Stegostoma tigrinum: one gene and its partners. The protein of the gene in region 4 purifies or fractionates together with the protein of the main gene of each other region. This does not show direct contact. Links are inferred from orthologs where the notes say so. Each region holds a gene or a part of one and is shown on either strand. Other genes may lie near its edges.

Evidence for each region.
Region 1: the proteins of ift57 (region 4) and ift20 purify together in Homo sapiens (affinity purification with mass spectrometry; 3 studies listed by BioGRID and IntAct, counting the BioPlex papers as one, with this or other methods). This does not show direct contact. The link is inferred for Stegostoma tigrinum from reciprocal best matches to the Homo sapiens genes IFT57 and IFT20.
Region 2: the proteins of ift57 (region 4) and traf3ip1 purify together in Homo sapiens (affinity purification with mass spectrometry; 3 studies listed by BioGRID and IntAct, counting the BioPlex papers as one, with this or other methods). This does not show direct contact. The link is inferred for Stegostoma tigrinum from reciprocal best matches to the Homo sapiens genes IFT57 and TRAF3IP1.
Region 3: the proteins of ift57 (region 4) and ift172 purify together in Homo sapiens (affinity purification with mass spectrometry; 3 studies listed by BioGRID and IntAct, counting the BioPlex papers as one, with this or other methods). This does not show direct contact. The link is inferred for Stegostoma tigrinum from reciprocal best matches to the Homo sapiens genes IFT57 and IFT172.

Annotation. Positions count from the first base shown.
Region 1 is NC_081380.1:36,807,505-36,815,401, reverse strand, and holds the start of ift20 (intraflagellar transport protein 20 homolog), read right to left. Parts: upstream 3,625-7,897; 5' UTR 3,482-3,624; coding exon 3,355-3,481; intron 1-3,354. UniProt on the Homo sapiens protein: Part of intraflagellar transport (IFT) particles involved in ciliary process assembly. May play a role in the trafficking of ciliary membrane proteins from the Golgi complex to the cilium.
Region 2 is NC_081360.1:20,756,755-20,765,111, reverse strand, and holds the start of traf3ip1 (TRAF3-interacting protein 1), read right to left. Parts: upstream 3,207-8,357; 5' UTR 3,122-3,206; coding exon 2,999-3,121; intron 2,986-2,998; exon of another isoform or gene 2,659-2,985; intron 2,653-2,658; exon of another isoform or gene 2,320-2,652; intron 1-2,319. Other genes in the region: uncharacterized protein si:ch211-227n13.3, read left to right, coding at 7,903-8,015.
Region 3 is NC_081357.1:80,136,433-80,144,363, reverse strand, and holds the start of ift172 (intraflagellar transport protein 172 homolog), read left to right. Parts: upstream 1-4,144; 5' UTR 4,145-4,604; intron 4,605-7,931. UniProt on the Homo sapiens protein: Required for the maintenance and formation of cilia. Plays an indirect role in hedgehog (Hh) signaling, cilia being required for all activity of the hedgehog pathway.
Region 4 is NC_081355.1:106,807,284-106,815,439, reverse strand, and holds the start of ift57 (intraflagellar transport protein 57 homolog), read left to right. Parts: upstream 1-4,797; 5' UTR 4,798-4,970; coding exon 4,971-5,125; intron 5,126-5,417; exon of another isoform or gene 5,418-5,495; intron 5,496-8,156. UniProt on the Homo sapiens protein: Required for the formation of cilia. Plays an indirect role in sonic hedgehog signaling, cilia being required for all activity of the hedgehog pathway.

The DNA of each region.
Region 1 (7,897 bases), on a different chromosome or scaffold from region 4:
TGAATTCCAGAGGTGAGGTGAGAGTGACAGCCCCTGATATCAAGGCTGCATTTGACCAAGTGTGGCATCAAGGAGCTGTAGCGAAACTGGAATCAATGGGTATCAGGGGGCAAACTCTCCAGTGGTTAGAGTCATACCTGACACATAGGAAGATGGTCATGGTTGTTGGAGGTCAATTATCTTAGCTCCAGTACATCTCTGTAGGAGTTACCCAGGGTAATGTCCTCGGTCCAATCATCTTCAGCTGCTTCAATGACTTTCCCTCTATCATAATGTCAGAAATGGGGATGTTCACTAATGATTGCGCAATGTTCAGCACCATTCATGACTTCTCAGATACTGAAGCAGCTCAAATGCAACAAGATCCAGGCATTATCCAGGCTTGGGATGACAAGTGGCAAGTGACATTTGTGCCACACAAATGCCACACTATGACCATCACCAATAAGTGACAATCTTACCACCATCCTTTGATATTCAATGGTGTTACCGTCACTGAATCCCCCACTAGTCAACATCCTGGGGGTTATCAGTGACCGGAAACTCAACTGGACTAACCACATAAACATAGTGGCTACAAGAACAGGCCAGAAGCTAGGAATACTGCAGCAAGTAACTCACTTCCCGATTCCTCAAAACCTGTCCACCATCTACAAGGCACAACTCATGATTGTGATGGAATACTCCCCACTTGCCTGGATGAATGCAACCCCAACAACACTCAAGATGCTTGACACCATCCAGGACAAAGCAGCCTGCTTGACCGCACTACATCCACAAGCATCCACTCCCTCCACCACTGATGCTCAGTAGCAACAGCGTGTACAATCTACAAGATGAACTACATAAATTTATCAAAGATCCTCAGACAGCAACTTCCAAACCCACGACCACTTCCATCTAGAAGAACAAAGTCATCAGACATATGGGAACACCACCACCTCCAAGCCACTCAACATCCTGACTTAGAAAAATATTGCCATTTCTTCACCGTCACTGGGTCAAAATCCTGAAATTACCTCCCTAATAGCATTGTGAATCAACCCATAGCAAGAGGACTGTAGCAGTTCAAGAAGGTAGCTCACCACCACCTTCTCAAAGGAAATTAGGGATGGGCAAGAAATGCTGGCCAGTCAGCGATACCCACATCCCATCAGGGGCGGCACAGTGGTTAGCACTGCTACCTCAGTGCCTGGGAGCTGGGTTCAATTCCACCCTTGGGCAACTGTCTGTGTGGAATTTGCACATTCTTCCCGTGTCTGTGTGGGTTTCCTCTGGGTGCTCCGATTTCCTGCCACAGTCCAAAGATGTGCACGTTAGGTGGTTTGGCCATGCTAGATCACCATAGTGTTCAGGGATGTGTAGCTTAGGTGGATTATAGGGGGATGGGTCTGGGTGGGATGCTCCAAGGTTCGGTTTGGACTTGTTGGGCTGAAGGGCCTGTTTCCACACTGTAGGGATACTACGAAATGAATAGAGAAACAAAATACAATTAGATAGAACCTTTAGTTCTGACTTTTTATAGAACTTTGTAACATCTGTTGAGCCAAACGAATTTCACGAAGATACAAGCAGGCTGTACAGGGTTGATGGGCTATGAGCTTGGAGGCTGGGTGTGTGTGGAATCCCCAGATAAGATGAGATTAATAACCATTGTACAGTTAATAATTCAGCCTGATGTTTCCTGGTGGCACTGTAACCCACGGAAAATAGTTAGTGGTGTCTGGGAGATGGCATTCAGCCTCCACAATATATCAGTCAATAGACCAGACAACAGAAGCACCACCCTTATCAGCAGGAACAATTACAAAGTCAGGGTTGGGTCAAAGAGCGTGCAGTGCAGTCTGTTCAGAGGGATATAGGTTTGACTGGATGGGGGATTGAAGTAAAGGCAGCCAATGTCAGGCAAAAGCTCTCCCAAACAGGTCAAGTGCAAATTGGTAAAAGGCCATAGGAAGGGGTCCAAGTGGAGGCAGCGTATTGGAGGCAGGCCAAGAGATGTCTATTGGTCAGGGAGAGGACTCTTGTCCAAATGAATGGGCATGGAGGCAAAGAGAACAGCAGAAGAATTTAATGTCATGTTGTGCTATTGAAGTAGGGGCACAAAGGGGTAAAACGAAGTCCTTTCCTGAACACAGAACATTCAGAGAACAGAAGGTCAGAATGAATAGTAAATATCTGACAAGAGCTGGGATCAGGAGAAGGCAGCATCTCAGGAGCACAAAAGCTGACGTTTCGGGCCTAGAACCATCAGAGGGTTCTGCAGAACACCTCCGCTCGGTTCGCAATAAACAACTGCACCTCCCAGTCGCAAGCCATTTCCACTCCCCCTCCCATTCTTTAGATGACATGTCCATCCTGGGCCTACTGCAGTGCCACAATGATGCCACCCGAAGGTTGCAGGAACAGCAACTCATATTCCGCTTGGGAACCCTGCAGCCCAATGATATCAATGTGGACTTCACCAGCTTCAAAATCTCCCCCTTTCCCTCTGCATTCCAAAACCAGTCCAGCTCGTCCCCTCCCCCCCACTGCATCCCAAAACCAGCCCAGCTCATCCCCGCCTCCCTAACGCGTTCATCCTCTCACCTATCCGCTCCTCCCACCTCAAGCCGCACCTCCATTTCCCACCTACTAACCTCATCCTGCCTCCTTGACCTGTCCGTCCTCCCCGGGCTATCCCCACCTATCTTCTCCTCTATCCATCTTCGGTCCGCCTCCCCCTCTCCGATGAAGGCTGTAGGCCCGAAACGTCAGCTTTTGTGCTCCTGAGATGTTGCTTGGCCTGCTGTGTTCATCCAGCTTCACACTTTATTATCTTGGATTCTCCAGGATCTGCAGTTCCCATTATCTCTGATCGGGTGAAAGGCCTAATTTAAGTTAAGAGATAACAAGGCGTAGAGCTGGATGAACACAGCAGCCAAATAGCAGAGGAGCAGGAAGACTGACGTGGGCTTAGGTTAATGTAATACAAAAGGGTGCACTGTGAGAGATGTCATCTTTCAAATGAGTGTTTAAACTGATGCTCTGTTGGCCCTCTCAGTTCCAAACAAAAGATCCCATGGCATCATTTCGAAGGGCAAAGCTCTCAGTAATCCTTTCCGACGGTTACCTCTCAACCAACAATTTGCCAATCTGTGGGATCTTGCTATGTACAAAGCATTTTCCATGTTCCCCAGATAACTGCAGCTCCTAAACAAAGAAGTACTAAATTGGCCACCGAAAAATAAGTTTCGAAAAGTTCCGGACTGGTGAGAGGCTTTGTATAATGTACATGTTCTGTCTATCCTAGTTTTCTTTACCATCCTCCCGCAACCCCTCCATACCGTGACAGATATCCTGCTCCGCACCTACTTTCTATAAAGTCCTTGCACTCCTCCTTCAATTCTGTTGTACTTTGCGCCACCTCAGGGTCCAGGACCCTGAGTTTGTTGAGTTCGTCGAAGTGCAGGCCGGCCTCCCCGAGGGACTCCATCGCCATCAGAATCAACAATACCCTCTCGTCCCCTCTGCCGCTGCCACGGCGACAGCGACGGCTCTCTCCGCCCTGCTGCGCATGCGCGGTCACAGGGGGCGGGGCACCCACGGATGTCGCGCGTGCTCAGTATCAAAACTCACTCAGTCTCTCAAGGTAGTGTGGGTTTCTGCAACATTATTTTTGATCTTTCTTACCAGACAGATTCTGGAGAGCTGAAGAACTTTAGTTTGCCGTTTGTCCAGAGTATTGTATACAGAAGGATTTAAAAAGAAATCTCACTGCAACACAAAATAACGGTTGAAGCTAGCGAATCTTCGCTCTTTGTTGTTTTAAATGATCATTTATCGGCGAGCTCCAACCATCGGTGAGATGGCCTGGGCGACTGGACGGCACTTTAACTGAGCCATGAAAGTGCAATCCAGCGGCGGGAAATATATCTGCGCGCGTGCGCACTAAATCGGGAGCCGGCGTGTGGCTAGCGCGCGTGCGCAGTTAGACGAGTACGGACGGGATCGAAGTCACGTGTGAATGCCCTTGCGCCGGAAGAGAAGGAGGAGCGGAGGCGGTTTGAATGGTCGGCACGGCAACTGCTGCAGGTACTGGGCCTACTTCGGGGGTGGGGAGGGTTTTAACGAACGAATAAACAAACTCGCTTTGGACAGTGTTGTCAGAACAAAGTTCAGCAAAGCGGACTGAGCGATTGTCGATAAAGAGATGTCAGTGACCGCCTCAATGGAAGCGAGTTTAGGCTCCTCATGGCAGCTGGAAGAAGTGATCGTAGAGGATGGAACTCCCTCAAACTCGCCCCAAATCTGAGAGCTCTAAGTGAATTGTTTAAGCAGGCTAGGCCATTGGTTTAGGTTGAAGCTGGATATTTCCTAGGTTGCATCGGTTTCATCGAGTTTTCCCCTTTACCTCACCAATACTTTCTAAAAGACCACACTGTATTCGACAACAGAAATTTCTTCTCATGTTGGAAAGACCGAAGGAGCCTTCAGCTTTTGTTGCTTTCAGCCCCTTGGGTATCCATTCCACTCCTCTCCTCAGTAATTGTCTGACATTGAATCTGATCGTTTAAAACCTTTGTTTTGAAGCGAGTTTAGGCTCCTCATGGCAGCTGGAAGAAGTGATCGTAGAGGGTGGAACTCCCTCAAACTCGCCCCAAATTTGAGAGCTCTAAGTGAATTGTTTAAGCAGGCTATGCCATTGGTTTAGGTTGAAGCTGGATATTTCCTAGGTTGCATCGGTTTCATCGAGTTTTCCCCTTTACCTCACCAATACTTTCTAAAAGACCACACTGTATTCGACAACAGAAATTTCTTCTCATGTTGGAAAGACCGAAGGAGCCTTCAGCTTTTGTTGCTTTCAGCCCCTTGGGTATCCATTCCACTCCTCTCCTCAGTAATTGTCTGACATTGAATCTGATCGTTTAAAATCTTTGTATTGAATTTGACTTCAATATGAGTCCCAAACAAAGACTGCCTGTTTCCACCCCTGACTGTGGTTCAGCTCATCTGCTGAAACAAATGCATGTGTTTGCTACCTTTAGACACAGCTATTCCAATGTGTTTCAGCTTCTCGTGATTTACCCTTCAATACATGTATGTGCATCAATCCCCTTCAGTATCAACTCTGCTGACTTATCAACATTGGATCCAGTTAAGTAATACTTACATTTTGAAGTTTTCATCTTTGGTTTCAGATTTTGCCACAGCCTTGTCCCTCCTTATCTGATTTTGTTCTTATTTATTTAGTTTTATTTTATTTATTTTTGTCACATACCGAAACTGAAGAGAAGGTGCAGAGAATGATGAGCTCTAATATATGAGAGGTCCATTCATAAGTCGGATAACAGAAGGGAAGACCCTGTTCTTAAATTAGTTGTTACATGTTTTGAAACTTTTACATCTTCTGTTGATGGAAGAGGTGGGAGGGGTCTTAGATTATGTTGGCAGCTTTTCTGAGGCAGTGGGAATTCTAGAGCGAGTCAATGGAAGGAAAGCTGTTTTATGTGATGGTCTGGGGTCCGTTCACAACTGTGCAATTTCTTGTGGTCTTGGAAAGAGCCATACCAAGCTGTAATATGTAATATAGGATGCTTTCTATGGTGTATCTATAAAAATTGGTAAGAGCCATTGTGGACATGCTGAATTTCATTAACCTTCTGAGGAAGTAGAGGCATTAGAGTGCTTTCTTGACTATAGCATAGATATGAATGGATCAGGACAAGTTGATGATATTTACTTCTAGGATCTTGAAGTTCTCAACCATCTCCATCTCAGCACCATTGATACAGTCAGGGGCGTGTCCTCCACTCTGCTTCCTGAAGTCGATGGCCAGCTGTTTTATTTTGCTGACACAGAGAGAGATTGTTGTCTTTACACCATGCCACTAAACTCTCTATCTCTTTCCTGTGATAATAAGGTGTAGAGCTAGATGAACACAGCAGGCCAAGCAGCATCATCGGAGCAGGAAAGCTGACGTTTCGGGCCTAGACCCTTCAAATTCAGTTTAAGCTTAAATTTGTGAAGTACAAAAGAAACGGTAGTCAGCAGGAGAAGTGAAGCTAGGTTTTTTTTGGGCTTGGAAATGAGTATGTAACGGTTCAGATAAGGCACAGTTGATAAGTGAGAAAAGCATATTTAATGTCCATGCTAACATTGTTTGGCTCAAGATCTGCAGGTTATTCAAATGTAATGAAGCCTAAATTCTCAAAATTGCAAATATTCAGATAATAAAATGACGGTGAGCTGCAAAGAACTAGGTCGGCCCGAAATGTCAGCTTTCCTGCTCCTATGATGCTGCTTGGCCTGCTGTGTTCATCCAGCTGTATACCTTGTTATCTCAGATTCTCCAGCATCTGCAGTTCCTGCTATCTCTATCTCTTTACTGTACTCTGTCTTGTTTTTGTTTGAAATCTGACTGACATTGGTGGTGTCAACATGTAAATGGAGTTAGAGCTGAATTTGGCCACACAGTTGTGTGTGCGTAAGGCGTTTAATAAGAGGCTAAGCCTTGCAGAACAGTGGTGTTGAGTATTATCATCAAGGTCTTGACACCCATCTTCACTGATTGCAGGTCAGGAAGTCAAAGAACCAGTTGCAGTCAAGCGAGCAGAGTCCTAGGTCTCGGAGTTTAGAGATGAGTTTGGTTAAAATTATGGCGTTCAAGGTGGAGTTGAGGCCAATAAATAGTAAGTGTCCTTGTTATCTACATGTTTCAAGGATAAGTGTAGGAACACAAAAACGGCACCTGCAATGAACCTGATGCCACGTGCAATCTCCTCCAGCTTCTCCGACTCCCTGGATGCCTGTAATCTTCAAACTCTGGTCTCTCGGGTTTAGTTCCTCTATTGTTGGTGACTATATCTTACCCAGTCCAAGCCTCATTCCCTCCCTAAAGATTTCTGTTGTGTTATTTGTCTTTCTTCTTTTACTACACTTAAACCTACTGCTTTGACCAAGCTTTTGATCATCTGCCCTCAAATTCTTGTGGCTTGGTATCAGATTTTGTTTCTTGGCTCTGCTGTGAAATAAGTGCTTTGGAACATTTTACTATATTAAAATGGTATGTTATTATAAAGCAAGCATTTAGATTTACTGATTGGCCTTAAAGAAAGAAATCATTTTTAGTTTGAGTACCAAATTGCCTGCTATGGTAGGAAATTATCAAATAGTGAGATGGCTAGAGTAAAATACTTGGCTTTTATTTTGTTTTTGCTTTGTTTTTCTCAAATACAACGCAAATTTCCAAACTGAATTTCCAGTCTACTGTGGTTAGCAATGAACTCGATGTTATCTGTTGAGACACTTAATACTGCATTGATTTGATTTTGTTAATAATATTTCTCCCTCAATTAACTTTGTAACAACATTGACTGACATTCTGCTGAAACTGATCCATGTTGGAATGTATTTCTGCATTCTCAATACTACAATTTCTCCACTGTATTGACAGATTTTTTTCAGCTTAGATTTCATTTGACTTATCACACCTGTGATTTGTTCCATTGTTTGTTATCCTTGTGATACTATTGTCTCTTCAATAAAATATTGGATTTTATTGTTAACCCAACAGGTAGCACATTTTAAAGTACAATTGAAAGTGATGGTATTTCATTGTAGACTAAATGCTTAAATTCTCAAGTTTTGGACTGAAGTTTGAGAATCCTCTCTCATGAACCTACATTATGGAGATGGGTTTGGAAGTCTGCAGAGTATTTATTCTGTTCAAGAATGCAATTCATTTAGTGGGTGGTTTGGTATTTTAACACATTTGATTATGCCAAGAATGTAAAGTACTTTTTCTCATTAGAATTTTAAAACTTGCATACTGTCTTCTAGATAGTTAACATAATTGAATTTTAAGCAGCAGATGAGTGTGTAACTTTCAATTTACTCTTGAATGCTTCACTCCTAG
Region 2 (8,357 bases), on a different chromosome or scaffold from region 4:
AAAGGGTGGAGGGTTGCTTTTCAAACTGGATGCCTGTGACCTGCAGTGTGCCACAAGGATTGGAGCTGGGTCCACTGCTTTTTGTCATGTATATAAATGATTTAGAGGTAAGCATGGGATGTGCGGTTAGTAAATTTGCATTTCATACCAAAATTGGAGGTGCGGTGGACAGCGAACAAGGTTGTCTCAGAGTACAACAGGATCTTGACCAGATGAGCCAATGGGCAGAGGAATAGCACAGAGTTTAATTTGGATAAATGCGAGGTGCTGCATTTTGGAGAGGCAAATCAGGGCAGAACTTATACACTTAATTGTAAGGTCCTGGGGAATGTTGCTGGATGAAGAAACCATGAAGTACAGGCTCCTAGTTCCTTGAAAATGAAGATGCAGGTAGATAGGATAGTGAAGAAGGCATTCGGTATGCTTGACTTTATCAGTCAGTGCATTGAGTTGGGAGGTCATGTTGCAGCTGTACAGGATATTGGTTAGGCTACTATTGGAATATTGTGTGCAATTCTGGTCTCCCTGCTATGAGAAAGATGTTGTGAAACTTGAAAGAGTTCAGAAAAGATTTACAGGGATGTTGTCAGAGTCGGAGGGTTTGAGCAACAGGGAGAGGCTGAATAAACTGGGGCTATTTTCCCTGGAGCATCAGACACTAAGGGGTAACCTTACAGAGGTGTATAAAATCATGAGGGGCATGGATAGGGTAAATAGCTAAAGGTCTTTTCCCTGCGGTGGCAGAGTCCAAAACTAGACAGCATATGTTTGAAGTGAGGGGAGAAAGAAGTAAAAGGGATCTAAGCAGCAGCATTTTCACACAGAGGGTGGTGCACGTATGGAATGAGCTGCCAGAGGAAACTGTGGAGGTTGGCACAATTACAATATTTAAAAGGTATCTGGATGGGTATTTGAATAGGAAAGGTTTAGAGGGACATGGGACTAGATTTATTTAGGATACCTGGCCAGGACGGACAAGTTGGACTGAAGGGTCTGTTTCCATGCTGTACATCTCTATGACTCGAAGTTAAGTTTTAGTGAAGATGCCACCCAGGTTGACAGGGTTGTTAAGGCGGCATAGTGTTTTAGCTTTTATTAATAGAGGGATCGAGTTCCAGAACCACGAGGTTATGCTGCAGCTGTACAAAACTCTGGTGCAGCCGCACTTGGAGTATTGCGTACAGTTCTGGTCACCGTATTATAAGAAGGATGTGGGAGCTTTGGAAAGGGTGCAGAGGAGATTTACTAGGATGTTGCCTGGTATGGAGGGAAGGTCTTACGAGGAAAGGCTGAGTGACTTGAGGCTGTTTTCATTAGAGAGAAGGTTGAGAGGTGACTTAATTGAGACATATAAGATAATCAGAGGGTTAGATAGGGTGGATAGGGAGAGCCTTTTTCCTAGGATGGTGACGGCGAGCACAAGGGGGCCTGGCTTTAAATTGGGGGGTGAAGGATATAGGACAGATGTCAGAGGTAGTTTCTTTACTCAGAGAGTAGTAAGGGTATGGAACGCTTTGCCTGCAATAGTAGTAGATTCACCAACTTTAAATACATTTAAGTTGTCATCGGACAAGCATATGGATGTACATGGAATAGTGTAGGTTAGATTGGTATGACGGGTCGACACAACATCAAGGGCCGAAGGGCCTGTAATGTGCTGTAATGTTCCATATTCTATGTTCTATGTTCTAAGTATACATGGAACAATGAGTACATTGTGTGCAGGGCACTACATGGGCAAAAATCAATCTTCAGTCATCATTTTTATAGTTAATGGAAGTCGAGAACCAGCACCAGTCACATATGTCACATTTAAAGCAATAAAGATGCATTACAGGAACAAAGCAAAACTCTATGCTAAGCCACATAAAATATTAGGGCAATGGTCAAAGCGTTAGGTTTTGAGAAAGAAAGTGATAGGAATGTTGAAAGGATGCTTGTCCTTATGGGAGAGTCTAGAACTATGGGGGACAATTTAAAATATGGAGCTCTCTCATTTTAGACAGATGATGAGATTTTAGATTAATACAGGATCAAAAGTTACCAGGTTGGTACAGGTGAATGTGGAGTTGCTGGCACACCAAATTAGTTTTGATGTTATTGAATATTGGAATAGACTTGCAGAGCCAAACAGCCAGCTAAAATATTCATAAAAGGTGCAGAAGATTAAGGATGGTCTTCCAGAACGTCAAGTCTTAGCAGCCGTGACGCAACCACTAATGGCTGCGCAATCAACACTGGAGCTGTTGAAAGAGTAGAGATCAGAATTAAAGGAGCGCAGAGCTGGACGCTGAAGCCTTTCGGAAGAAAGGTCCCTACCCGAAACGTCAACTCTCCTGCTCCTCTGATGCTGCCCGGCCCACTGTGTTCCTCCAGCTCCACACGATGTTATTTCTCACTCCAGCATCTGCATCTTATTATCTTAGAGGAGCGCGGAGCCTGTACATCATGTGGCAAAAGGAGGCCACGGAGAGAGGCAATTCCACGAATAGATTTGAAAGGATGAGAATTTTAAAATCGTGGCGTTGTTTGTGCAGGAGACAATGTAGATCAGCAAGCATATGGGAAATAGAGGAAGGGCGCTTTAATTGAGCTCAAGACAGGAAAAGCGGTGTTTCGGATGCCTTAACTGTGAAGAGGATTGATTACGAGTATTACCAGATGTGTTGAGTTTGCCTGTTGTCATGAACAAGCATCCGTTTGAGCAGAAACATACTGCCATCGTTCAGAACTACTGAAAGATTCCACAAGAGGGTCCTTGTCCTACCAAAGGTAGGGGATTTGAGCCATCCACATAGAAACGGTACATTGGAAACTGACCCGCACACAAGCTTCTCAAGGATACTTAATATTCCTTGTTGGCTGCGTTGTGATAAAGGCGGGTCCCCGGGCGGATGTGCGCGACAACTAAGGATCGGAGCAGGCGATTGAGTCCCTAGCAACCAGGGTCGCCCCACCGGGCCTTGTCTCAGTGCTCGGGGAACTCGTCGGCGCTCACCTCGGTGAAGATGTCGTGCAGATAGCGGAAAGGCGGCTTGCTAAGCAGCTTCTCCGTCAGTGGCGGCTTCTTGATCACTTTTCCCAGGGTGTCCTGGGTCCGTCTGACGAACGGGTTGCTCATTGCGCTGGGTCTCTCCTCTGGGTCGGGATAAACTGATCCAACCAGGCCGTTCTCAGGCCCGCTCCACCAACCGCCGCCGTGCGCGACTACGTCACTAACGCGTGCCAACTTCGGCGTGACGCGGCTGCCTAGCAACAACCGCAACAGCGCTGTCAGCTGACACACTGCGTCCTTCCCCCAACCATTCATTCCCCACTCAGACCGTTTCCTTACCGTTTTATCAATATTCATTTAGGCATAGGTTTAAGGTGAGAAGGAAAAGATTTGCAAGGGACTGAAGGGGCAAATTTTTCACGCATGGATGGAGTGAACTGCCAGAGGAAGTGGTGGAGGCTGATACAATGACAACATTTAAAAGGCAATCTACATGGTTATATGAATAGGGAGGGTTTGGGATATGGGATGGCAAATGGGACTAGATTAATTTAGGATATCTAGTTGGTGTGGAAGGGTTGGACCGACTCTCTGTTTCCATATGGATCAAATTGGTGCCACAAGCATGGAAATTAATTCACATCCAGCTGGGATGGATTCAGAACCTGTCTATAATAAAGATGGGTGTGCCTTCAGCAGAGAGAATAGGGGAAGAGAAAGCAAACTTTCTGACTCCATTACAAAGTATGAGATGATTTCATTCATTGCTTAAATTTTACACTTCCAACATAAACATAAGTTAGCTTTTAATTGTGATTAACTCCAAGCTTACAGAGATAATAGGACCTGCGATGCTGGAGAATCTGAGGTAACAAGGTATAGAGCTGGATGAACACAGCAGGCCAAACAGCATCAGAGGAGCAGGAAAGCTGATGTTTCAGGACCCAAAACGTTAGCCTTCCTGCTCCACTGATGTTGCTTGTCCTGTTGTGTTCATCCAGCTCTGCACCTTGTTATCTCATTAACTCCAAATTTGTTTGAATTGAATTAGTTGAAATGAATATCAGTTTCTCAATCAGATGGACCATTCATCTGCAACTAAACTCAAATTTCCAAAACAAAAGTTATATTCTAAAACATATGAATAATGAACTAGATAGTCACATTGTATTAACCTATAAAGTGTATAATTAAGTACCATGTATGTGATTATATAAAGAATCTGAAGAAGACATATCATTTTAAAATTGAGACATGAAAAATACCTCTCATTAGCTAATTGAAGAGCATTATTCTTTTCAAGGAGGAGGTAAATATAGTCATGTGGCTAAAGAGAGCAAGGGATTTGGGGGAAGAGGGTGAGATTAGCCTACTGAGTCCAATGATCAGCCCACGAGGGGGTTGAATGACCTACTCCACTCTTCTTTGTTTCTACAATCTCTAGTGGTCAAGAAAAACATAATTAGTACCAATCAGTATTTTAATTGGAATTGTTCCCCAAGGAAAAGCACAAAATTTATAATTTGTTTACAGTTAAAAGCTTCAAGTGAAATTTGTTGTCTCAAGTATGATTGAGGATGATCATCACATGTAAACCCAGTCTAACAACAAAAAATGCTGTAAATACTCAGCAGGTCTCATAGTATCTGCAGAGAGAGAGGCATTTAACAGTTAACAGTTTAGGTTGTGACCTTTCAACAGAACTGGAAAAGGTTAGAAATATAATGCAGTATCTGTTGAAAGGTGAAAAGAGGAAGAATGGAAAAAGAACAAAAATGTCTGAGATGGGTTAGGGGTTACAAGATATATTAAATGACGAAAGATTTTGTGGGTAACAGCTAGAGGGAGTGGTAATGGTACAAGTAAAAATAATGTCCAGAGGATGTACAAATGTATACTGTCAAAGTTCTGCTCCAATACTCCGCTATAGGGCAACAGAAAGCTCAAATTGTATTTTTGAATCCAAAATAATTTTGATAATGAGCTCAAACCTAAAACACTAATATGTGATTCTTCCTAATGCATGTTGATAAACTGGCTGTGTTTTTCAAATATTATCTGCAGGAACTTTTGAATTCAGGAATTGAGGTTTCTGTAAAGATGAGTATACAATCAAAGAATGCAATAGCTGTTCAAGTCCAAAATGACTCAAAATTAACTCTCTCTCTCTCTCCCACTCCAAAAGATGCTACTAGATATGCTGAGTTTCTTCAGTGCTTTGTTTATTTCAGATTTCCAGAGTTTACAGCATTTTCCTTTTACCTTGGTTTTGGTATAACTTTAGCCAGATCCCTCCCCAATTCTTAATGGTACTGCCATATTGAAAACCAAATACTTGGCTCTTGCTCTTTGCCCTGTACCAGTTGTTCAAAGCAACTTTCTCCAACTGGCTATGCAGTACCTAACCCCAGGATACACACACCAAAACAGTGTGATGACCTTAAGTTCTGAAAATTCTACCCTGAACGAAAGTTGTTCCGAGAAAGTGGAAAGTAGGAAACAGAAGCTGAAGAGCTTGGACTGGGAAGAAGTTGAGAGAACGGTAAGCATCTGAAATTAAGAGTTGAAAATTATAAATGTTATTCTGGTAATAAAATCTGAAAACAAACATATGGTCAATAGATTTGAATAAGAAATTATATTATTTGACCATTTAGCTTCGGATCAATTGAAAGAGTGATGGAATGAGCAATCAAAACAGTAGTAGGCAATTGTTTGACCAGATAAATTTCAGATAAAGAAACTTCATTAAATCCATCAAAAATAAATGTTGGCTGAACTTTGTTACACTAAATAATACACTAAATAAAACATACTGTAAATGGGAACAAGAACAAAGTTGCTGGAAAAGCTCAGCAGGTCTGGCAGCATCTGTGGAGGAGAAGAGAGTGTTAACGTTTCGGGTCCAGTGACCCTCAGACTGAGGAAGGGTCACTGGACTCAAAACGTTAACTGGTTTCTCATCCACAGATGTTGCCAGTCCTGCTGAGCTTTTCTAGCAACTTTGTTCTTGTTCCTGATTTACAGCATTCGCAGTTCTTTTGGTTTTTGTACTGTAAATGGGCACTGGAAAAATTCAAATGCTGCATTATCAACATTAACTTTTTCTAAGCAGGAACTGAGTCACAAATAAATATTTTAGAACTTTGAATTTAGCATTTTTTCCCTCAACAAAGCATTTTCAATGATTGAGGTGGTGCAATCCTTTCATGTGTCAATGAAAATTTTAATTGTGTGTAAATACATAATCACAAAAAGGTTGTTCTGATTTTCTTCACTTTAAAGGCTGTGTTGAAAAAGTGTATGCCAACTGCACTAATAAAAAACAATGCAAAAGAAATTAAGTAACAAAACAGGACGTTTGTGCAAGGCAAAAGGAAATAGCAACAAGACAAGAAACAAAAGATGGGTGTAGAAAAGGTGTAAACAGAAAATACAGAACATATCTGCAGCTGATCTCTTTTTAACTAAGAAGCAGTACTGAATAGGAAGGAAAGAATGAGAATCAAGGGTTATGGGGAGAAAGCAGGTAATTATTGAGAAATAGCTGATCACCATGACTTCTTTCAGTAGCAGAGCAGATAAGATTGGTTGAATGGCCTACTTCTGTTCTTACATCCTTTGATTTCGTGGAAACTTGCACAGGTGCCAGTACACATAACTGCAGCAATAAAACCTTTGGGTTCCAAAAATAAAATCAAAAAGACTCCGCACTCCAAAGAGCAGCAAGCACAAAACGTTCAATAGCTGAAAATAATCTGATTATTTCATTGATAATGGGAACTGCAAATGCTGAAGAATCCGAGATAACAAAGTGTGGAGCTGGATGAACACATCAGGCCAAGCAGCATCTCAGGAGCACAAAAGCTGACGTTTCGGGCCTAGACCCTTCAATCACAAAACGGGTAGGGAGAGGGGGAGGCGGATCGAAGATGGTACAGGAGAAGATAGGTGGAGTGGAAACAGACAAGTTAAAGGGGCGGGGGTGGAGCCAGTAGAGGTGAGTGTAGATGGGGAGGTAAGGACGGGGATAGGTCAGTCCGGGGAGGGCGGACCGGTCAAGGGGGCGGAATGAAGGGTCTAGGCCCGAAACGTCAGCTTTTGTGCTCCTAAGATGCTGCTTGGCCTGCTGTGTTCATCCAAGTCCACACCTGATTATTTCATGCTTTGGTTCCCTCTTTGTTGAGAGATTATATTGTCACTGACTTCCGAATTTTAAAAATAATCCTAGCTGTTACTGGTGTGAACGATAAACACAAAAAAAGTGTTTATCCCTTTTCCATGTTATTATAGCGGTAGGAAGATTACACCCGCCCGCCAATTCAAACCAATAACCTCGCTTTCCTTTGCCACGATTGGACGGATATGTATGATTGACGGTGGTATAGCCCAAACAGATTGTGGACGGAGTATCAAAATAAACTACTAACGCTTACTAAAAACCGAAAGAACCGCAGATGCGATAGATCAGGAATAAAAACAAAGTTGCTGGGAAAGTTCAGACGGCCCAGCAGCATCTGTGACGGAAAAAACAAAGTTAACGTTTCAGGTCCAGTGACCTTCCTCCCCTGACGCTTTCTATTTGGCTTTTGCGTGTGATTGACAGGAAAGTAACCCAATCCAAAGAGACGACGTGCTGACGCGAGCGTCCGTGTAATGAACGTGGAACAAGTTTGACCGTCATTAGGAGGGTGGGAACAAAACCCGGCCCTGCTTTTATTGGACTGCCATGCGATTGATGGCGTGGCTTGTCTTATGGGTGGGAACTGTGTCGCTTGGCCTTATTGCTGTTGAACGAGTGCAAGTGATCGACAGTGGGCTGAACCAATCGTACGCGTCAGGGGATGGCCCGCGATTAGGGCGCGCGCGTTTCGGTTAGGCTGGGCGCTGCCTCGCGCCGAGTGGGTATGATGCGGAGGCAACGCCGGCGGTGTGTTGGTGGTACCGAGCGAGCTGTTTATACTTTACGGCAGAACAACTCTCTTAGTCAAGAAGAGGTGGAGAGCGCCTTCGGAGAATTGTAAGGATTTCTTCGCGCACTGCTTTCTCTGGTTTTTCCATGTATTTCGCTTTGTTCAGCAGGTGAACTGCACAGAGAGCAATCTCAGATCGATTTATTGTAGGCTTCGGTACTGGAGAAGTGTTGAAACTCAGTCAGGATGATCGGCCTCACCATGTTAAGACCACTAGATGGAGAAGCAGAAGTTGGCCACTCAGTCCTTGAGCCTTCTCTGTAATTCAGAGAGATCACAACTGATGTGATAATCCGCAACTCTACTTTCCTGCCTTTCCCCCAACCCTTGATTCCCTTACTGATTTATTATTGTCAATTTCAGTCTTGAATATAATTAATGATCCAGCC
Region 3 (7,931 bases), on a different chromosome or scaffold from region 4:
AGGTGGAAGGAAGATGTCGGGTTGACTGTGCATCCTCGCAACCGGTGGATCTTAATGTTAGCTTCGGCCTAACGCTGGTTCAGCGAAGCAGCCAACCTGCAACGATGGCTGCGGTGAGTGCTCGTGCCCCAGGTCAGGGAGTCCGGAACACCATCCGCGTTTCCGTGAAGAAGGTGGATGAAGGTGCACCTGTGGACTGCACCTTCTTCGTGAAGAGGGTCCCGTTGGACTGTTGTGGCTTCACTGCTGCGGACATTTACTGCCTGCAGGACTTCCCTGGAGGAGGTTTCTACGATGTAACCTTCAGGAGTGCCAAGCTTTGCGAGCGCTTCCTGGAGGTTTTCAATGAGAAAGGAGGTGAGGGCCCCCTCTCTGTACTGACTGCTGTCCCGCTGTTCGTGATGCCGGTGCAGAGGAGCCGTATGGTATGTACACAGGTACAACCCGCATGTGCCAGCAGCTGATGTTCTGACCTTCCTCAGAAGGTACGTGAAGGTGGTAGGGGACCTAACCTACATCATGGATCCCTTCGGGATCTGGACCAGTAACAGGCAGGTCAAGGTGACGCTGAGGACGGGCACAGACGGGAGCATCGTACACCCACCGTCCTGCTTCGCGATCAGTGGGAGCAAGGGCTACCTGACCTACGCAGGGCAACCTAAAGTCTGCCATGCCTGTGGTAGGTCAGGTCACGTGGCAGCCGACTGCAAAGCCACCATCTGCAGGGAGGAGGAACACCTTGCAAAGGATTGCCCAAAAGAAAAAAGCTGCAACCTTTGCGGGGAAGCAGGCCACCTCTATGGTGCATGCCCGTGGAGGGGGACCACCTACGACCAGGTCGCCGGCAGGGGCAATGCGGGGCAAGCCCCCCTGGAGGAGAGGAAGGCACCAGGCCCCTGCAAGGACCCCCCTAATGTGCAAGAGGGCCGGGTTGTGCAGGAGGGCCCAGCCCCGCAGGACGGACCCGAGGCCAGCAAATCGCCTCTGCAGGCTCTGCGCCCCCACAACAACCCGGAGTCGATGGAGGAGGCGACAGGTGACCCAGGGGAGTGGACAACGGTCCGGAAGGCAAGGAGGAAGGTGCGCCAGCGGGCCCCAGCACCGCAACCATCAGGCGGGAAGAGGCAGCTACAGGGGGGGCTATAAGAGCTCCTCTGATGAGGGGGATTCGGAGGAGGCCCGCCCAAAACAGAAGCTAAAGATCTCATGGGAGCAGGAAAGCAGCACCCTGATTCCAGGTGACGGGAGGTGTCCTGAGGCTGCCTCCGACACCCAGCCACGCGCCACTGTAGGGGGGCGCCTCCTAGTGGCTGATGTCACCTACAGGAATGCTCCCCTGAGGCTGATCGACGTGTACGCCCCAGCGGTACGGAGTGAGCGGTTGGCCGTCCTGTAGCGGCTTCCACCCCTGCTGGCTACGTCCAGGCCGGTCATCCTAGGCGGAGACTTCAACTGCATCATCGATGCAGATGGACGATCCGGCGTGGGGACAGCGGGTAGGGGGAGTCAACTGGACATCACGTCCAGATTCCTGATGGGCACGGTGAAGGACGCCAAGCTGCTCGACGTCTTCAGCATCCCTGCAGACGGAGCGCAGTGGAGATACACGGCCAGACGGGTCTATCCGCTCAAGGATAGACTTGCTGTTTGTGTCACCGGCGTTCTCGGTCAGGTCCACCGGCGTCGAGCCGGTGTTCTTCTGACCACTGCCTCCTGCTGGCCGACTGTCACTTACAGGACGACCAGCTGGCTGGCAAGGGGACGTGGAAGCTCAACACGACTCTGTTGACCCCAGAGAATGTCGAGGAGCTTAAGAGGGAATACATGGTTGGAGAACCGTGAAACCCCTCTTTGAGTCTCCGGGCGACTGGTGGCAGTCAGTGAAGGAGAACATCAAGAGGTTCATTGTCCTCAAGGGTGTTCAGAAGGCGGGAGAGAGGCGGGGGAAGCTGTCGTGACTCCAGAAAAGGATGCAGAACCTGTACCTTCTGCAGTCGATGGGGGTCGATGTCATGGAGGACCTCCACGAGGTGAGGGGCCAGCAAGCCTCGCTCTTCGCCGCGGAGGCCTCCAGGATAATCTTCCAGTCCAGGGTCCACTATGTGGAGCAGGACGGGACGTGCTCGCATTTCTTCTTTCAGAAGGTGCACAAAGAGAGCTCTGTGCTTAGCCGACTGAAGGACGACGATGGCTTGGTGACGTCGTCTTGGCCCGACATTTTGAGGATCAGCAGATCCTTCTACGCCGGGCTGTACGACGCGATGCCCACGGACAGCACGCCCTTCGAGTCGTTCCTGTCGTCTATCACGGAGGTCTTAGACAACGTCACGAGGGAGTGTCTGGACCGGCCGATATCCCTGGACAAGCTGACCAGAGCCCTCAAGTCCTTTGAGAGGAATAAGGCTCCCGGGAGTGATGGCTTACCGGTTGATCTGTATTCCGCTCTGTGGGACCTGGTCGGCCAGGACCTGCGGGAGGTGTACGATAGTGCGCTTTGGGCAGGGGAAATGTGCAAGTCCATGAGGAAGGGCATCATCACCCTTATTTACAAGAGGAAGGGGGAAGAGGGAAGAAATTAAGAATTGGCGTCCCATTTCATTATTGAATGTGGACTACAAAATCCGGGCCAAGGTCATAGCCAACCGGGTCAGGTCTGTCCTGCAGTCAGTGATTCACACTGACCAATCCTGTGCTGTGCCGGGCAGGAAGATCACTGAGAGCCTTGTGCTCATCAGGGATACGATCGCCTACGTGCAGGACAGGCGGGTGGACACCTGCCTCGTCAGCCTGGACCAGGAGAAGGCCTTCAACAGGGTTTCTCATGCTTACATGAGGGACGTCCTCTCCAAATTGGGATTCGGGGAGGGCATCCATAATTGGATCCGGCTGCTCTACACCAACACCGTTAGCGCAGTCTCGATCAATGGGTGGGAATCGGACAGTTTTCCTGTCAGATCTGGAGTCAGGCAGGGCTGCCCACTCTCTCCTGCCTTGTTCGTGTGTTGTATGGAGCCCTTCGCCGCATCCATCAGGAAGGACGTGAGCCTGAAGGGCATGACTATCCCAGGCAGCGGAGGCCTTCAGGTCAAGACCTCCTTGTACATGGACGACGTCACCGTCTTCTGCACCGATCGTCAGTCGGTGAGTAGGCTGTTGGACATCTGCGGCCAGTTTGAACTGGCCTCGGGTGCCAAAGTCAATGGGGGTAAGAGCGTGGCCATGTTCTTCGGGAACTGGGACAACCGCTGCTTCATCCCCTTCACCGTCAGGACAGACTACCTGAAGGTGCTGGGTGTTTGGTTCGGTGGAGCTAGGGCGTGCACTAAGACTTGGGAGGAGCGTATCACCAAACTGAAGCAGAAGCTGAGCAGGTGGACGCTCCGGTCCCTCTCCATCGCGGGTAAGAACCTGGTTGTCACGTGCGAGGGGCTTTCAGTACTGTTGTATGTGGCGCAGGCCTGGCCTATTCCCTGGACCTGCGTCGCTGCGGTCACCCGGGCCATCTTCCACTTCATTTGGGGGTCGAGGATGGTCCAGGTCTGCAGGGACACCATGTACAAAGACCTGGAAAATGGGGGAAAGGACGTACCGAACGCCACCCTCGCCCTGGTGGCTACCTTTGTGTGTGGCTGCATCAAGCTCTTACTGAGGTTCTACCTGTCCCCGGTGTTGCGAAGGATGGGCCTGGCCTCATTGCCGCGGAACCCTCCAAGTAGTTGGCCCGTCCCATACCACCTGTCCTTCGTGGAGAAATTTTTGAAAGGAAACACCTTTGACCACAAGGCCGTCAGGCAGTGGTCAGCACGTAGTATCCTCGAGACCCTTCGGGAAAAGGAGAGGGTGGATCGCGTCGTGTGGTTCCCCACGCAGACTGCCAAAGTCATTTGGCAGAATGCCTCATCGCCAGAACTTTCAAACAAGCACAAGGACATTGCTTGGCTAGCGCTGAGAGGGGCTCTGCCAGTGAGATCCTTTATGCATGCCCGGAATCTCTGCGCCACCGCACGCTGCCCTTGAGGCTGCTGCGGGGGGGACGAGAGTGTCGATCACCTCCTTCTGGAGTGTGCCTATGCGCAGGAGGTCTGGAGGGGGATGCAGTGGTATTTGTCGAGGTTCGTCCTGAGCAGCTCCATGACACGGGACTCCGTGCTCTACTGGCTGTTTCCCAGGACGCACGCCGAGACCAACATCAACTGAGCCTGGAGGACCATCAATGCGGTGAAAGACGCTCTTTGGTCTGCCCGCAACTTGCTGATCTGCCAGCTGAAAGAACTGACCCTGACCGAGTGTTGCCGACTGGCGCACTCCAAGGTCCATGACTACGTGCTGACGGACGCGCTAAAGCTTGGGGCAGCCGCTGCCAAGGCGCGGTGGGGAAAGACCACCGTATGAAACCCCTCGTCCAGAATAGAAAAAAGGGCCCTATCTGGTAACTGGGCCCAGCTGGCGCCTTCCCCAACTGGTCAGGGGCCAATGGGGACTGTGCGGGGAGATGACTGCCAATGTATTTTCTTTGCTTTGTTTTTTTTTTCATCTTTGTTTTGTTTTTGCCTCTAGTTGGTGTATGTACCCCTTGGGTAACCGGGAGCAGCTTGCATGACTGGGTAGGTGTATAAATGTTTTATTTTCTGTATATTCTATGAATAAAGTATATTTTTTCAAATAAAAAAAGTGACAAAACATCTGAAAACGAACCTTCCAGCTCAGTGAGCAAACTTACATCCAGAACCTCATCTTTATCATGGATGTCCAGTCCCTACACACTTGCATTACAGGCCTTCCGTTTCTTCCTGTTCTGCAGGCCCGACCTGTCTCCCTCCACTGACACCCTCATCTGCTTAGCTGAACTTGTCCTCACCCATCTTCAATTCCTTCCAACTTCCTACAGACAAAGGGGTACCCACATGGGCCCAAATTATGCCTGCCTCTTTGTGGGATATGTGGAACAATCCCTGTTCCAAAGCTACACTGGCCCTAACCCCCACCTCTTCCTCCATTACATCGATGACTCTATTGGCGCTGCCTCGTGCTCCAACTTGGAGCTCAAAAAGTTCATCCACTTCACTAACACCTTCACCCCAACCTTAAGCTCACCTGGACCATTTCTGATACCTTTCTCTCCTGCTTGAACATCTCTGTCTCTATCTCTGTCCTCTCATCCACTTTGCTGCAAGAAGGCCATCCCCTTATTTCCAATTGCTTTGCCTCCGCCGCATCTGCTCCTGAGATGAGACATTCCACTCCCAGACAGCCTGGAAGACCTTGTTTTTCAAGGACTGCAATTTTCCCTCCGCATTGGTTGAAAATGCCCTCAGCCATGTTCTTCGCATTTCCTGCAACTCATCCCTCACACCCCCTACCTGCAATAACAAACAAAACAGAATCCCTCTCGGCCTCACGTACCACCCCACCAACTGCCAAATCCAATGCATCTTCCTCCCACACTTCCACCATCTGCAATCTGACCCAACTACCAAAGACCTTTTTCCCTCCTCACCCTTATCTGCTTTCCAGAGGGACCACTTTCTCTGTGACTCCGTTGTCTGCTCCATACTCCCCACCAGCCCCACCACCCCTGGCACTTTTCCCTGCATCCACAGCAAGTGCTACACCGATGCCACCCGAAGGCTGCAGGAACAGCATCTCATATTTGGCTTGGGATCCCTGCATCCCAATGGTATCAATGTGGACTTCACAAGCTTCAAAATCTCCCCTCCCCCGCCCACATCCCAAAACCAGCCCAGCTTGTCCCCGCCTCCCTAACCATTCCTCCCACCTCAAGCCCCACCCCCATCTCCTACCCACTAGCCTCATCCCGCCTCCTTGATCTGTCTGTACTCCCTGGACCAACTTATCCCCTCCCTAAATCCCCACCTACATCACCTTTACTGGTTCCAATCCCACCTCTTTGACCTGTCTGTCTCCCCTCCACCGATCTTCTCCTTTATCCATATTCCACCTCCCTCCCTCTTTCTACCTATTTATTTCAGAATCCCCTTCCCATCCCCCATTTCTGAAGAAGGGTCTTAGTCTGAAATGTTAGCTTTCCTGCTCCTCTGATGCTGCTTCATCCAGCTGTACACCTTGTTATGTCAGATTCTCCAGCATTGGTAGTTCCTGCTATCATTGAGATTGTTGACTTGCTCGCTGAGCTGGCTTGTTCTTGTTCAGACATTTCATCACCATGCTAGCTGACATCATCAGTGGACCCCCCCCAATGAAGAAATGTTATTCTACTCCGCTTGGAACTTATACTGTTTGATCTGTTAAGGTGAGTCCTGTCATTTCTGGTTTTATCTGTATGGGTTTGTATACAGGGTCCAATTCTGTGTGTTTGTTGATTGCATTATGGGCAGAGAACCATGCGTCTAGGAATTCCCGTGCGTGTCTTTGTTTGGCTTAGGCTACAATTGTTACCTTGTCCAAGTTAAACTGATGGCCTTCATTGTCTGAGTGTACAGATATTAAGGAGAGTTCGTTGTGCTGCTTTGCTGCTAGTTGATGTTCATGTATTCTGATGGCTAGTTTCCTTCCTGTCTACCCACTGTAATGTTTGTAGCAGTCATTGCATGTAAACCACGTTGGTTCTGCATGTTTTGGGAATGGGGGCTTTAATCCTTGTAAGTGTTTGTTGTAGAGTGGCTCTGGGCATGTGGGCCACCATGATTCCTAGTGGTCTTATAGCAGTCTCTTTGTCAGTTCCAATGTGTTCTTGATATAAATGCAATGTGGCTAGTGCGTTAAGGCATATTGTGTCCTCCTGTTGTTGTCTGTTTAGTAGGCATCTGCAGATGAAGTTGCGGGGAACTCCTTTTAAAGTGAGGATTTTATATAGGTGCTCTTCCTGTTTCCTGCATAGTTCTGGGGTGTTGCAGTGTGTCCTGACCCATTTAAATAGTGTCCTAATGCAGCTTTATTTGTGGGTGTTGGGATGGTTGCTGTGGAAGTTACATTTTCGATCAGTATCCGTTGATTTTCTGTATACTGAGAATTGGAACTCCCTGTTGGTCCTATGCACATCTTTAACATCCAGGAGTGGAAGTTGATTGTTGCTTTCTTCTTCCCTTATGAATTTAATCCCCGTGAATACGCTGTCGATGGGGTTGTGGGTCTCTTCTAATTTGTTGTGTTTAAGAATGACAAATGTTTTGTCTACGTACTGAATACGTAGTTTAGGTTGAATGCAGGGGAGGTTGGTGTGTTCTAGTCTTTGCATGACTGCTTCTGCAATGAATCCTGACATGGGTGACCCCATTGGTGTACCGTTGATCTGTTTGTTTACTTCACAATTAAAGATGAAATGTGTGGGAAGGCAGAGTCTAGTCGTTTAAGTATGTTGTCATTGCTGATTGAGCTCCTGGTCTACGTTGAGATCCTAAAAGAATATTTCTCATCAGTCTTTACCATCAAAAAAGGCAAGGATGCTAGGGAAGTTGGGGAAATAAATTGTGAATTCTTGAAGAGAGTCCATACCATCAAAGAGATGCTGGAAGTCTTGAAACGCATTAAGCAGATGAATCCTTGGGACCTCATGAAACGTATCACAAGACTTTGTGGGAGGTAAGGGAGGAAATTGCAGGGATCCTCACGGAGATATCAAGAGCCATGGGTGAAGTGTCTAAGGATTGGAGGTTGGCTAATATTGTGCCATTATTTAAGAAAGGCTGCAGTTAAATGCTTGGGAGCTGCCAGTAAGCCTAGCGTCTGTGGTGGGTAAGTTGCCAGAAGAGATTCTGAGATACAGGACCTATAGCCTTTGGAGAGGCAAGAAGTCTTTTGGGATAGTCACCATGGCTTTGTGCGTGGGAAATTATGTCACATGAAATTGATTGGGATTTTTGAAGGGGTGACCAAGAAAGTAGATAAGGGCAGTGTGATAGACATTATCTACATAGACTGTAGTTGGGCGTTTGATAATGTACTGCAGGGTG
Region 4 (8,156 bases):
AAAGACCGGGAAGTTGATGTTTCGGGTCTTGACCCGAAACGGCAACTTTCCTGCTGAAGGTTCTCGACCCAAAACATTAACTTTCCTGCTCCTCTGATGCTGCTTACTGATTCACAAAAAAGATAGAATAGTTCAGCATGTCCTGTCTGTTCTCATATTTGAATTCTTTATACAGCAAAGACTCAGTAAGTGCCGAATAAAATGGTGCAAAATTAACTTAAATGATAACATCATAAAATAAGGTTCAATGTGGGGATAGCCACTGATTTTTGTAGCATTTATTTCCATTCACAACTCTTAGATAATAATGCTGCAATGATTCCCCATTCCAGCTCTTAGTCAATATTCTGTGGTGAGTAACCTATTTCCTGAACCCATGATCTTTCCAACATCCACACAAAAGACTTCTTGCTTGATTCTGCAACATTTCTCACATAGCCCACGGCATTCAGGCCCCTACAGTGTTTGCCCTCTGTCTCCCACTTTACAACAACTACATTTCAAAGGTAGCTAGCATTAATTGTGAATTATTTTAAAATATCTTGAGGCCACGAAACGTGTTGGTATGAGCCATGTTCCTATGAAGCACCTTGGGCATTTAATATTTCAGAAAGCATTGGTTGTTAGTTGCAGTTTTTTTTTTAATTAACCTGTTCAGAGATGCTCTTACACAGCTGTGCAGCAGGTGGTAACAGGACTCAGGTCACCTGGGTTCAGAAAGGTGATGGAATAACAATGGTCTCAGTTGTAATTTAGTTGGTGACGTTCTTGCTCTGAGGCAGAAAGTTGAGTTTTGTGCACAACAATCTAAGTTGATGATCCAGTGCAGTACTGAAAGAGAGCTATATTGTCAAAAGTGGTGTTTTTCAAATGATATGTTGAATGCTGGCCACATTCATCTCTCAGATGGGCATGAAAAAGTTCCATGGTGCTATTTCAAACAGAAGCAGAAAAGTCAGCCTCAGTGTCCAGGCCAATATTTATCCCTCAACCACATCATAAAAATAGATTATCTCCACAAATATCACAATGCTGTGCACAAGTAATGTTTCCTCCATTACAATAGGGACAATAATTCAAAAAAATTCGTTAGATGTGAAATTCAGCAGTTGTGAATGCACTTTATAAAAGAATCTGTCTTCTTCTTTTCATTTGCCGAGATAACAGCAGCTGTTAAAAAAAACCCCAAGGAGATCAACACATTTCAGAAAATAATTGTTCTGCTTGATTGATAACCTACAGTCACCTTAATTATGCATAGAAACATGGAAAGATTTACACCACAGAAGCAGGTCATCTGGTCCATTGTATTCATGCTGAACAAAAAAGAGAAATACATCGTTCCAGCCAGAATGAAACATTTTAACCTTAACTGTTTGCTTCCTGCCACTGAGGCAATTTTAAGCCAACCTGCTAGTTCCCCTTGAATCCTATTAACATTTAATTTTCAGATCATTTCACACATCAAAGGCATTATTCTCACTGTCTCATATGTGACCTATACAACTGAAGGATGACTTCTCTGGCCTGCTTCAAATCCTTAAATTTGTTCTTCTTCTATGTCAAATGATTAACTGATCATTTAATTTTCCATTTGTATTACAGTATGCAAATTCGTCACAGATAGCTGAATCTTACTTTTTTCGTTAAGTGTCAGTTTTGTCAAGTTTCACGGAAGGTTTCTCTACAGAATGCTTATGGAGATATCTTGCCATTATCTTCCCAATACCATTGAATTAACTAACAACCTGCCTTGTCCAGTAAGAACCACAGTATTTAGGTAGTATGGCTGGTGTTCCTTTGCATACACTTCCCCACTCTTTCAACCTAGTCACTGTTAAACCAACAAGTGACACAGTTTCCCTGTCTTTAGTCACATCTTGTCTCACCATCCAAAGTCACAATGACTCTATCCCAAATGCCCACTGTAGATGCACATCTTGTCATTGTCCCATTGGGGAACGTTAATACAGGTAAGCAATTGGCAATTTTTAAAAAAAGCTATATGAAGACTGCACCAGAGGCTGAATGTATCAGGGTCGCCTGACCAATTGCCCCTCACCCCCAAATGGACTGAGGACTAGCTTCCACCCACTTTCAAGATGGCCATTTGGTTGAATAAACATACAGTGTGATGGCACACTAGGAGCTGGCACATACTGTCCATATTAGATTGACATCCTGGAGTGCTCTATAGCAAGATGCACTCCAGCCCAGGCAGGTCTTTACTGACAAGCACAAGAAGCAACTTACCTGTCTAAATGAGCACATCAATATCTGAAGAATGGTCCTGACCCAAAACGTCAACTTTCCTGCTCCTCTGATGCTGCCTGGCCTGTTGTGTTCCTCCAGCTCCACATTTTATAACTTCTGACTCCAGCATCTGCAGTTCTTGCTATCTCTGACATCAACATGATTGTGCTTTAGCCTTTAGACTCTGGCTGAAGCATCAAAGTGCTAACAGGCACGGCACTGCATGGCAGGGATGCTGAAAGCATGCAACTAGACATTAGGTGAGTAAGTGCTTACAGAGCAAGTGAGCAGCCTTGAGACATAACCTGGTCCAATCCATCAGCTGGGAGCCAGTCCTTGCATGCAGAATGTCCTTTTGATGCAAGTTTCAATGCGCCCTGCAATGTGTATCCTGCAAGTGGATTAGGTGCCATGAGAATCCTGGGGATTTGGTAGTTATTGGAATTAATATTGGATGAAACATTCCCTCCCTACTCAGTCACTTCAAGGTTCCTAAGACTCCTTGCAGGCCAACCAGCGTGTCAATGCTTTGTCTTCAGCTTTCAGAAGTGGCTGCTGCCCACAAACTTTGGAGGTCCTGCGCTAAAAAGGTGATATGGAGTATTGGTTGAACATGCATTGATGAGGGCTGTGCAGCTGGCGCCCAAGGATTGTGCACTGAGATGCTATTGTATGCTGAGAAACACGGAGCCTCTTTGCAGTCAGTAACAAGCTGAAGTCAGCAGGTTTTTGTTGTCTAGTTTGCACACAGTGGGCAGTAGATGAGGCAGCTGCACATTAATATGTGTAGTTAATAAGGTTGCCAACAAACAATAATCTTTCTTTATAGGTATCTCGCCATTGCCTGGTACGAATCACACCTTGACACCTGGAATAAAAAGATACAGACCCTTCTGAACTTCTTGCTTGATTCTGCAACATTTCTCATTCAGGCCCCTATAAATTTTACAACATAACAAAGTGTGAAGCTGGATGAACGCAGCAGGCCAAGCAGCATCTTAGGAGCACAAAAGCTGACGTTTCGGGCCTAGGCACTTCATCAGAAAAGGGGGATGGGGAGAGGGTTCTGAAATAAATAGGGAGTGAGGGGCAGGCGGACTGAAGATGGATAGAGGAGAAGATAGGTGGAGAGGAGAGTATAGGTGGGGAGGGGATAGGTCAGTCCAGGGAGGACGGACAGGTCAAGGAGGCGGGATGAGGTTAATAGGTGGTAAATGGACGTGTGGCTTGAGGTGGGAGATGGGGATAGGTGAGAGGAAGAACAGGTTAGCAAGGCAGGGACGAGCTGGGCTGGTTTTGGGATGCAGTGGGGGAGGGGGAGATTTTAAAGCTGGTGAAGTCCACATTGATACCATTGGGCTGCAGGGTTCCCAAGCGGAACATGAGTTGCTGTTCCTGCAAACTTCAGGTGGCATCTTTGTGGCACTGCAGGAGGCCCATGATGGTCATGTCGTCTGAGGAATGGGAGGGGATGTTAAAATGGTTCACGATTGCGAACCAAGCGGAGGTGTTCTGCAAAGCAGTCCCCAAGCCTCCGCTTGGTTTCCCCAATGTAGAGGTAGCCACAGCGGGTACAGTGGTTACAGTATACCACATTGGCAGATGTGCAGGTGAACATCTGCTTAATATGGAAAGTCATCTTGGGGCCTGGGATGGGGGTGAGGGAGGAGGTGTTGGGGTAAGTGTAGCACTTCCTGCGGTTGCAGGGGAAGGTGCCGGGTGTGGTGGGCTTGGAGGGGAGTGTGGAGCGGACAAGGGAGTCACGGAGGGCGTGGTCTCTCCGGAAAGCAGACAGGGGTGGGGATGGAAAATTGTCTTGGGTGGTGGGGTCGGATTGTAGATGGCGGAAGTGTCGGAAGATGATGCGTTGTATCCGGAGGTTGGTGGGGTGGTATGTGAGGATCAGGGGGATTCTCTTAGGGCGGTTATTGTGGGGGCGGGGTGTGAGGGAGGTGTAGCGGGAAATGCGGGAGACACGGTCAAGGGCGTTCTCGACTACTGCGGGGCGGAGGGGCAGGGGAGTTGCTTACCTTATGTTTCCCACTTTACAACAACTATATTTCTAAGGCAGCTGGCATTAATTATGAATTTTTTAGAGGCATATCAAAGTCATGAAATGTGTACTTATGAGGCATGTCACTACAAAGCATCATGGAATGTTTTATGTAATTGAAACCCTTAAGTTGTTAGTGGCAGATGACTTTTCTAAAAAAAATCTGTTCAAAAATAGTATTACACACCTCTGCAGTAGGTGAAAAGTTGAACCATAAGTCCCCTGGACTCAGTAATAGGGACATAACCCTGACACTATAAAATCCCCTCACTACTCATATACCTATTTTCCTAATCACCTCCTATACAGAGATGTAACGACACACACACACACACCTCTAAAGTGGGACTTGAACTGGGGCCTCCTCGCTCAAAAGTAAGGATATCACCGTTGCTCCACAAGTGCCCTTACCAGCTGCTTGTGGTGTTCATCATTCCCAGCCCCTAGTGATATAATACCTCGTCTTTGCAGCGTTTTCCCCTACACAACTCCTCTCACTGCTGACCTCACTTCCTGGATACGCTGTGTTCGGTTCGAACCGGGCGGGCGCATTAACCGTTTAATTTTTACATCACGGACAGTGTCCGGGCAGTGGACACAGAGCGGGCGGGTAAACCCCGGAGAAAGGCCGAGAGCCCCTCCCTCCCCTTGAGCCGCTGCTCCCATGGCCGATGATGGCCGGCGAGGCGATGAAGGGGAGCGCGGGCCTGGCGCCGTCTATCAGATGTTTGTCACCATGGAGGACCTGCTGGATAAGCTGAAGCTGATGGACTACGAGGAGAATCTGATCCGGAGAAACAACATGAAGGCGCTGTCGAGGTGGGCCTCTGTGGTAATTAACCCGGGACAGGGCTGCAGAGTGACCCCCAACCCCCATGATCTGAAACTTAGGGGAGATAGTAGGCATTGCCGAAGCTGAAGAATCTGAGATAACAAGGTGTAGAGCTGGATGAACACAGCAGGCCAAACAGTTTCAGGTTGGGACCCTTCTTCAGAAAAAAAGGAATTCTTTCCTGCTCGGCCTGCTGTGTTCCTCCAGCTCCACACCTTGTTACCTGAGTCTGAGGGGAGTCCCCTTTTGCTGCACGCCCCCTTAATCGGCCCTACTTACCATCCTATTCCCATTTCCATTTCCATTCGGCGTATTTAAAGACCTTTTGAATGTCGAAAGCAAGTAATCGGTCCAACGTATAGGCCAGAATTGAAATATTTTGTGATATTGTAGAAAGTGTACAGCCAAAATAGAGTAGAATTCCTACCCCACACACCAAGGAATGACAGCAAAGGGGGGAAAAAGTTGCATTTGCATTGAAATAGCAAAAAGTGCAGATGCTGTAGTCAGAAACAACAGTGCGGAGCTGGATGAACACAATAGGTCAGGCATCATCAGAGGCGCAGGAAAGTTGACGGAACAAAAACAGAAGTTGCTCGAAAAGCTCAGCAGGTCTGGCAGCATCTGTGAAGGAAAAAAAAAGTTAATGTTTCGGGTCCGGGTCCCTTGGGTTGAATTCTGACGAAGGATCACCAGACCCGAAACGTTAACTCTTGTTTCTTTCCTTCACAGATGCTGCCAGACCTGCTGAGTTTTTCCAGCAACTTTGTTTTTGTTCCTGATTTATAGCATCCGCAGTTCTTTCTCTTTTTATTCAGGAAAGTTGATGTTTCGGGCCGGGACCCTTCTTCAGAAATGGACCACACAGTGTCGTCACTTGCATTTATATAGCAATGTCCTACAGCCTTTCGCAGTGGATGGAGCATGTCCCCATTGTTCAAATATCACGGAGCCAGTTTGAGCTCAGCAATGTTCCACAAAGAGCATTTTAGAAAATTATTTGAGTCCTATGTGATAGACTCATGTGGACAACTTGGCAAACTTGACTACTCTTCTTTGAATGGTCGGTAAAATCTTTTACATTTATCAAAAATGACAGATTGGTTGTTAGTTGAATTTTCATCTGAAAGATGAAAGACAGTGCAGCACTCCCTCAGTACTAATTAAAGTGTCAAACTTGAATTATGTATTGCATCCCTGGACTGAGTTTGAGGTCATAATCTGACTCGGACACGAATGCTCATCAGTGAATTAAAGCCGACTGTTTATTGTTGTGAAGAAAAGCATGTGGGGAAAATAGTGTTTATCCCTGGAACAAGAAGAGTGAGATGCAAATCTATTGAAAGTTTTCAAAGCTATGAGAACTTTTTAAAAAATGTTAATAGTGGTCCATGTTTCAGTAACAAGGGGTCTAAACCTGGAATTATCCCTAAAATAATAAGGGAAAGGCAGAACATTCTTTTCACTGTTAAAATAACGAACTGTTTCTTTTATAATGTATAAAAGTGGCAATGATCATAGGATAATTTAGAAAGAATTAACTAAGTGTTTTTGAGGGCAGAGTATAAATCATAATTCACTAAATTAGATTCAGTTGAAAAGCTAGTGCTAGTACAAGTGCAATGGACCATAAAGCCTTCCTTCTGATGTTCCTGTCTGGTTCATGATAAATGTTATAAATGAATAGACTGAATTGTTGTTATCATAATGGGCTGGATTTTCCAAGGAATGGGAATGATTGCTATATGCCCTTTTTTTTATGAAAGGAAAGAGCTCCACATTTCTGACAGGAGATCCCAATCATGGCTGTTTAAATAATGCAGAGTCACACCTTGATTTTCATTCTCCTGTATTGCAGAATCTTCAAATTTCCTGGGCAGTCCTTTGGAATTTGCAGCATCTATCTTAGAGTAACAACTGCCTGGCCATCAGAAAATCTCGGCCAATATATCTATGACAATTTATCCTGATTGTTATGGTCTTTAAATTTGCTATAATAACTTTATTTGACAAGCCCTGCTTCTCATGTTTCCTTGTTTTGGTTCTACACAAGCTTCTTACAATCAGCATTCTAAAATAATAGTCAGCCAACAATTTCATGAAAGCTTGAATTTTATTTATACTTATTTTGAAGTTTGAAATGCTTCATATGTCTTTATGTTCATGCTTCATAAATCTTTATGTTCATGTAGTGCAAAGGTTATTTGACCTTTTGTAAACATTGGATATCAATGAGTTGATATTTTATGTGCTCGTATACTTTATTCCCCACTCCTTCTATCCTGAAATGGAAATCTCTAAAGTTGATCTGAAGCCTAAATGTAACCCTTCTTCCTTAGAAGAAATCCGCTGCAGCTATGTGCTCAGTTCTTTCCAAATCTTCAAATGAGGTGATTTATATTTCTGATCTTCTCAATAGCTTTGTATGAGCTCCAAAAAATATTTTAAATAATGTAATTTCTGGGGAGAGCCAGGGAGGTTATAGAGGATACACGAGATCTCAAATGTGGCATCAGTTGAAATATAATCAATTAGCGAGTTTTGAGAAGATTTGTAGCTCAGGTTGAGGTTCTGGATGTGAGTTTGCTCGCTGACCTGGAAGGTTAGTTTTCAGACGTTTCGTCACCATTCTAGCTAACATCATCAGTGAGTCTCCGACAAAGCACTGGTGTTATGTCCCGCTTTCTATTTATCTGGTTAGGTTTCCTTGGGTTGGTGATGTCATTTCCTGTTCTTTTTCTCAGGGGATGGTAGATTGGCTCCAAATCAATGTGTTTGTTGATGGAGTTCCGGTTGGAATGCCATGCCTCTAGGAATTCTCATGCGTGTTTCTGTTTGGCTTGTCCTAGGATGGATGTGTTGTCCCAATCAAAGTGGTGTCCTTCCTCATCTGTATGTAAGGATACGAGTGATAGTGGGTCATGTTGTTTTGTGGCTAGTTGATGTTCATGTATCCTGGTGGATAGCTTTCTGCCAGTTTGTCCAATGTAGTGTTTGTCACAGTTGTTGCAAGGTATT